2 linked regions of the Coturnix japonica genome follow. The protein of the gene in region 2 purifies or fractionates together with the protein of the main gene of each other region. This does not show direct contact. Links are inferred from orthologs where the notes say so. Each region holds a gene or a part of one and is shown on either strand. Other genes may lie near its edges.

Region 1 (4,317 bases), on a different chromosome or scaffold from region 2:
AAGTGACAAACACGGGCATATGACCACAGTATCACAATCAAGAAATTTTAAGACAACATTAACAATCACTCAAATTTATGCGGCATTTGCGCAACACAGGTTACATATTTGCAAGGTTTACCTATAAGTACAATAGGTATTAACATTTCACTACATTTAGGAAAAAATAAAAATAAAAAATAAAGGTGACCTGTTAGTGACCACATACATCAAAATATACACAACACAAACTGAAGGCAATCAGTAATTTTGTCCCCTTCGGAATCATTGGAACGGGCAGTGCTGCGAACTGAAAGAATGCGGCTGCTTTTAAATTACTCCGTACACTGAGTGCATTTTCTATAACCCAATCTTTGGTCTAAAAGTAAACAAACAAACAAACAGGAAAAAAAATAATAATAATTAAAAAAAAAAAAAGGAATTAAAAAAGAAGAAGGAGAAGAAGAACCCCCCCCCCCCCCAAAAAAAAAAAAAAAAAAAGAAGCAGTTAGGTAAAGAAAAAGATAAAATTATAAATGGCCAAAACGTAGTTTTTGGGCATCTCTCAGTATGAATCTGCTTAAATACAAATTACACTTCTTTTTATAGTTTTCATAAATCTAGTGGCTTTTTTTCATGGTCTGCACCCACCGACATATCCATGATAACTTATAATACTGCAAACATGGAGAATCTGGCGGCTTTAGAGATGGACTTTTCGTATTTGAATAGGAATCGCGAAAGCAGTCACTATTAGATACACATTCTACTAGAAATTTGTCTCCCAAACTCCATAGTCTACAATGTAATCTCCCCACATTGCACCTCGCTGACACTCCTCACCCTGGTGGCATAATAAACAACCCTAAAGACTGAACAAACGTACAGAAAATGGGGGACTTAATAAAAAATACCTGGGCTTTTTGTTTTTCTTTTTTTTTTTTTCTTTTTTCTTTTTTTCTTTTTTTTTTCTCTTTTCAATCATCATTTACAACGCGAACGTGTGTAAAATGTTCACTTACAGTCTGATCCCATGGACGTTAATGTATTAAAGGGTTGGAAGAAGACCCCTGATTTTGATGTGTAAAATAATCGGAGAGTCCTCCAGAGAGTCCCGTCGTGAAACTCGGCAAAGAGGGTCTTAGGGACTCGCAGGGCAGGGTGGAAGGTGCCTGCGGCGATGTGGACGAAGAGGCGGCCCTGGCCGTCATCGAAGTGCTGCTCTGAGAAGTCATTGAGGGGTGAGGGACGTGGGGGAAAAAGTAACTCGTCTGTCCCGCCAGGAGGTTCACGGAGCAGGGATTTAGGGAGTACGTGCCGGAGCAGGGGACCGACAAGCCGCACGGCACCGAGGCGGCCAGGGCGGCGGCCGTGAGGTGGTGAGTGGCGTAGGGGATCTCCCCGTTGACGAGTCTATCGACGCTCAACCCGTTGGACGTGGAAAAGGAGTGATTGTTCCCCAAGGAGTTCTGAGTCAACACCGAGCTGTAGGGCATGGGGTGGCTGGGGTAGGCGGACGCGGTCCCGTTGTAGCTCAGCGTGCTGCTGGCCCGCGGGTGGTGAAGGGACAGAAAGGGGGACATGGGCCAGTAGAGGGACCCCGCCCGGTCCATGAAGGTGAGGCCGGTGGAAGTGAGGCGGGCGCCGCGCTTGAAGGCCAGCTTGGCCCGGGAAGTGGTGGAGCGCCGGCGCAGCTTGCCCGTGGTGCCCCCGATGAAGACGTCGTCGCTGGACGGGTCCAGCGTCCAGTAGCTGCCCTTGCCCGGCTTCTTGTCGTCGCGGGGCACCTTGACGAAGCACTCGTTGAGAGACAGGTTGTGGCGGATGCTGTTCTGCCAGCCCTGCTTGTTCTCGCGGTAGAAGGGGAAGCGGTCCATGATGAACTGGTAGATCCCGTTGAGCGTCAGGCGCTTCTCGGGGCTCTGCCGAATGGCCATCATGATGAGCGCGTTGTAGCTGAACGGAGGTTTCTCGTACTTGCCGTTCTTCTTCTCGCCCTCCTTGCCGCCCTCCCCGTCCTTGCCCCCCTCGGCCGCCCCCTTCTTCTCCTCCAGCTCCGCCGCCGCCGAACCCGCCTCGCCTTTCCCCGACAGCGCCTCGGCCTTGGCCGTCTCCAGGGCGCCGGCGGCTGGCGGCGGCAGCAGCAAAGGCGCCTTCTCCTCGTCCTCGTCTTCGGCCGCGGCGGCGCGCTGGGGCTGCTGCGGCGGCGGCGGGTGGTGGTGGTGGTGGTGATGGTGGTGGTGTGGATGGTGGCTGTTGTGGTGGCTGTGGCCGCTGTGGTTGTCGCTCTGCACGGCTTCGGGCACCAGGCTGTTGATGCTGAAGGAGGACTTGGGCAGCATTTTCACTTCCTTCCTATCTCCCATGTCCAACATCACACGCTGCGCCGAGGGGGCGGCTGGCGGCGGCCAGGGCCGGGCGGGCGGGGGCCGGGCGGGCGGCGGCACCACCGGCGGCGGCGGCGGCGCGGCGGGAGCTCAGCGTCAGGCGCTGGCACGGCATGTAGCACGGGCGGGGGACGGCGGCAGCGGTCACCGAGCGGAGAGAGCCGGAACGAAGGGGGGAAAAAAGAGGAGGAAAAAGGAGTAAAAGAGCCCTCTAAAAACCAAACAACACCAGCAGCAAAAAAAAAAAAAAGACCCAAAGCCGCGCAAACACACACACACACACCAAAAAAAAAAAAAAAAAAAAAAAAAAGCTACTTCATGGTGCCGGTTCCCCGGTACAGCGGTGTAGGGGGGAGGACGCGCCGCGGGTCGGAGCAGAGCCGGCTTTACGGAGCGCCCCGGCCGCAATTAATTTCAGAGCTGCACACACGCACCGTGCCTGTAAAAAATTTTTTGGTTTAACCTTTCCCACCGGGCGCCCAATCAGCGGCGGCGGCGTGCCCGAGCGTCCTGCCTCCCGCCGGCCAATGGCTGCTCGCCGACACGCCCCCACCCCCCGACGCCCCGCCCCCTCTCCGTCGCGGCTCCCGCGGCGCAGGGATACCGGTGCGGGGCGCGTCACCGGCCGTGCTCCTCCGCGCGACGGCACTAAGCCCCTCGTGCCCAACCAACGGCGCTCGGTTCCGGGGTTTCGCTCGGTAACTCCTCCGGTGGAGCAAAGTTGCCCCGACCCTCCTTGCTACCGGGGCGGGAGTCGGACGGGAGCCGGGGGGGGGCGCGCCGTCCGCGCGGTGCCGGAGCGGAGGTACTACTTGGCGAATCCCGACGGCGCCCGTCGGCAGTGTGCTCCTGGGCCCCGCCGCGCTGTTGTTATTTATTTAACCAACGGGGAGCAACGAAACTCAGCCGGAGGGGTCGGGACGGCGGGGCGGGCGTTGAAGCTGGGACCGGGCTGGGGCTGTGCGGTGGAAGGGGCTCGGGCTCGATGTGGCGGAGACAGCGCCGGGCGGGTAGAGGCCTCTGGCCGAGGCCTGCGGAACAGCAGCACCGCCGAACGCATTAAGCGCCCCAGTACCGGCGCAGCGCCTCGAGCAGCGCCTCGAGCAGCCCCTCCGTCGGCCCCGGTGGGGCTCGGTGTGTGGGCCGTGGGAAAGGGAACGGGGGCTCCATTCCGGCGGTGCCGTTGGTTCAGGGGCTCACGGAGCGGGCTGCGCGCTGCCCGGGCTCGGCGCTGCTCCCCGCATCGCGGCGTTACCGCCGTGAGTACGAGCAGAAATGAGAATCGGCCCCGAAACAAAGCAAAATGAGCTTCCTCGCACTGAAAGGAGAAGGGGAAACGTGAGCGATAGAGTATTGGTCACGTTTAAAATGAACGCTGTGCAACACAACGTACAGCCGGTGCCTGTCGCTGCGTTCAACCACCCAAAGTTCATGTTTGTCCCGCTGGAGAAATGGTTCCGTTGAAGTGTAACACCCGCAGCCCTGCCCCAGCAGTGTGTCCCGGGAAATCCAGTGCAGATCCCAGTGCAACCACCACGGCTCTGTGCCTTTTCTGTATGCGTTTGTGAGTATGTGCGTGTGTGAGAGAGCGGCTGTGAGAAAGGGAGGGTAAATCCCTACAACAATTGCTGTGGATGGGCAATAAACAATTGCAGTTGGGCATGGCACGAACTATGTGCGTTGGATTAACCTCGCTTGACCTCACCACAATTGTATTTATTTATCCAATTTCGTAACAGGTTGCTACTGACCAAAAAGAAGTAGAAGTCAATGATCAGCTACCTTCGGCTTTTTCTTTTTCAGAATTGCTGTTGTATTTTATTTTTTAAATATCGTGATAATTTGTAATTATTTCCTTGCACAACACTGAAGCCAATTGATGGGAACTCCTGAAGAAGAGTGCAGTGTAGAGGATGTAACGGAGCTCTGTGGTGCTGGGGTAAGAGAAAAG
Region 2 (3,560 bases):
TTTATGAACCTGATGAATTGTAAGTCTTCCATCTCATTACATTAAGACAGTGCCAAAGTAAGCTTGCACTTGAGAAAGTGTAGTCCAATTACAATCACCAGCATCACTGGAATATTTGCAAAAAACAAAGCGACTTCACATGTGATATCTAAGCAACCACTTATGAAAATACAGTTGAAGTCTCATGTCTTTTAGATCTTACAGTTTTCTTTTAAATTACATCTTACATTCATCATTTTAAAGTGAGAATGTTGAGTTATAATATTCCCCTTATAGTACTGGACTTATGCTGGTTCTCTTGCTCAGCATCACTCCTGTCATACTCATACTGGTTTCACATTTTTTGATACTATTGCTGATGGAGATACTACAAAAGATTTAGAGATGGAAAAGATTTCAATCTTTACATATTACAAAGCTGACTTCTTAAGCATACTGGCTGTCCAACATAGTAACAGTTCTCTAGGAACTGTTGTGTGCCCCAGTGGCGCAGTGGTTAAAGACGCCGCCTTGCAACACTGGGGCCCGGAGTTCAAATCCCCCCTGTGGCGCAAGTGGTAGAAGTGCCGCTCTGCTACACAGAGGCTCGAATCCCGGGGGCTGGTTCGATGATCTCTAAGGTCCCTTCCAACCCGCACGAAACTATGAAATGCAGGGATAGGATCAGTAACCCAAAACAAACAAAAAACCCCACAACACTAAGTAGAAATCAAAGACACTTCTACTACTATGGGATTGCTGTGGTTGTTTTCTTTGTTTGTTTGTTTGTTGTTTGCAGTGGTGGTGGTTTTGTTTGTGTTTTTGCTCATTTGTTTGTTTTAAAATCACAGAAAGGGAGCAGCAAGTAGTGCACTGGGAATGTCAGCTTAGCTATTGGCAGCTATACAGATCTGTAACTAAAGCAAATGCAGCTAGGACTGAGCATTGAGAGACAAACCTGCCACAAAACAGAATACATATTTAACCATACATACACCACTACTGGACAACTGACATGGGCATATCAGCAAATGAGAGTTAAAGTTTGAAAAAACACATTTATTATGATCAACATGTAAGAATTACTATCATCTGTAATATATATTATTGTGCTTTATGATGTTATACCTTCTCAGTTAACACTACTCTGATTTGCCTCTTTCTATGCTGTCTACACTGCGTTAGTCTAAGAGGCATCTGTTATTTAATATTTTTTTGTATTTAGCTTTTCAACTGACTGCAAACAAATCAGCTTGCACCTGATGGATATGAATAGAAACCAGCAAAAGTACAGCAATACGAAGTAACCTTGCTACCTTGTCACACTACTTCTTTATATGGCTACTACCCTCTTACAGAAAAAGACACCATGATTTCTGGCATGAGTGAAACACCATGTAATGTCCCTGTCTCAGCCATGCTTCCTTTTAAACCCATGCTGTGCAAAGATCACCAGTATGACTTGGATGGGGAAAGAATCAGGTATGCTCTCAGAAGTCTTATCTATTATTTGGCCCTTAGTAATGACATTTATCACTAAACAAACCAGTCTCCTTCTCTGAAACACCACCTGTTCATTGTTACAAAAAAAAAAAAAAAAAAAAAAAAAAAAGTCAGTTAAATACATACAGCAGGAAACAGAACTGCCTGCTATTTCCTTATAATATGAACAAAATCCAGACAAGGACAGCTATTTCCTTATTGAGTCTCCAAGGTGAAGTTACCCTTCTACATTAGTTCCTGTTCACTTACCAGGCAGTCGAGCTGAGAGACAGGGCTCTTGTTGCCAGGCTGGCTGATATCCCAGACTTTGACACACCCCTTGCCACCCGTGTACACATGTCTTGTGGGGTTGCTGATGGTAACTGCACACACAACTTCCCCATGATTCAGAGTGTTGATCTGACGGGCATGGCGAGGGATTCCCGGACCAATGAGGGCATCAGGAGGGAAAGGAACAGGCTGCATCTGGCCATCTGCAGTAACATGAAAGGAGTAGGCTCTTTTGGGGAAAGGAAAGATTGGAGAAGAAAAAATATATATATCAGCAAAGATATGTGCTAAAATGACAGAAAAAGACAGTACTTTGTGTGTTTTGGTTTTTTTTGTTTGGTTGGTTGGTTTTTGTTTTTTTAATTTTCATGAGAAAAAGGCTAGAAGAGCTACAGAGCCAAGCCAAATAACATGAAGTACATGAAACCTCAGAGAAAGAACAGGATTTACAACAGCCATTTTCAGCTTTCACGTTTCAACTAAACTGTGCACTGGGAAAGCACATTAAAATCTCATATTAACTCTATGAATCAAGATCATGGCCATCACACTGCCATTTGGACCATTAAAAGAGCTTTCAGCTGCTGCTTTCTAGTCAGAGGTTCTGACACTGGTCTCAGCACAAGTCCTGCAGCAGCATTTCCTGACCATCTTTCAGATGTATTCCATGAAGCTTGCACCTGTTGCCCTGGACTCTTAAGTTCAGCTTGTCCTCAACCTATTTCAGCACCTCATCTTCAACATCAGCACTGCCTGTGCTAGTATGTCTCTCTTTCCAGCTGGGAACTAGTTTTGTACATAAAATAGTAACATGCAGAGTGCATGTACATTCTTTCCTCAGATGATGATTAAAATCAGTTCAACACAAAGACCAGGGCAGAAAAAGCAACAAATAATGGTTTCAGATTTAGGGTGGTATTTTTGTTTTTTAGAATAATGAAAATACTACTGCAAAAGCTGTTTTTATTATACTGGTGAGATACTGCTGTTACACTCACTGCATTCTTATTCAAGAGAGCAAAGTGGTAAAAAACATGTAATGTTTTTACTAATAGGATACCTTCTCCCAATTATACAATCATTTTTTCTAATACGCTTTTGTTCTCAGGACTGTACTTTCTTTTCCAAACATACCTTCTTCCTCATAAAACTTCAGTTACTATAGTTCAAATTAAAAGCATTGCATCGATCTTCAACAGAGCAAACAGTAGGTAATTCAATTTATTTTTTGTTCTAAGCAAGTAGTTTTCAAGAATTTTATTGCATGTTTCCAAGTATTGCACAGTTTGAAAGAAAGGAACAAGTAAGATTGCTGTACCTGTAATAGGTACCACAATGTACTTGGGCTTGTTTCCTAAAGCAACTGAGTATGCCTAGGAGTTGATAAGAAGATATTTGGAGTCAGAAGAAAATAAAAAAGGCCCTATTTTTATTTCATACAGAAGATAACAGTAGTGTCACACAAAGCAATACCACAGTCTTCACCACAGGGGAAGGGCAATAGGTAGTTGACTGTAATTGCTATAAACCAAAGAAGAAGTCAAGTGCATACACATGCAATTCCTGTACCCTATTCATGTTTTGTGGTTGGACAAGTGAAATGAAGATATGCTCAGAGAATGCACAAATAAGAGAATGAGGAAACAATAAAGATGACAAATAAAACCGATGAGGAAAACCAGATAAGGAAATTTACTCCCTTATTTGTATACAAGTTGCAAAGTGTATCAGACACATCTCCCATGGAATCCTTTCCCTTTTTCTCTCCCCCTGCCGCCCCCCCCCCCCCCCTTTTTTTTTTATTTCTT

The links.
Region 1: the proteins of TLE1 (region 2) and FOXG1 purify together in Homo sapiens (affinity purification with western blotting; 3 studies listed by BioGRID and IntAct, with this or other methods). This does not show direct contact. The link is inferred for Coturnix japonica from reciprocal best matches to the Homo sapiens genes TLE1 and FOXG1.

Annotation. Positions count from the first base shown.
Region 1 is NC_029520.1:31,592,680-31,596,996, forward strand, and holds the start of FOXG1 (forkhead box protein G1), read right to left. Parts: upstream 2,817-4,317; 5' UTR 2,355-2,816; coding exon 1,020-2,354; 3' UTR 1-1,019. UniProt on the Homo sapiens protein: Transcription repression factor which plays an important role in the establishment of the regional subdivision of the developing brain and in the development of the telencephalon.
Region 2 is NC_029547.1:35,427,661-35,431,220, forward strand, and holds part of TLE1 (transducin-like enhancer protein 1), read right to left. Parts: intron 1,982-3,560; coding exon 1,732-1,981; intron 1-1,731. UniProt on the Homo sapiens protein: Transcriptional corepressor that binds to a number of transcription factors. Inhibits NF-kappa-B-regulated gene expression. Inhibits the transcriptional activation mediated by FOXA2, and by CTNNB1 and TCF family members in Wnt signaling.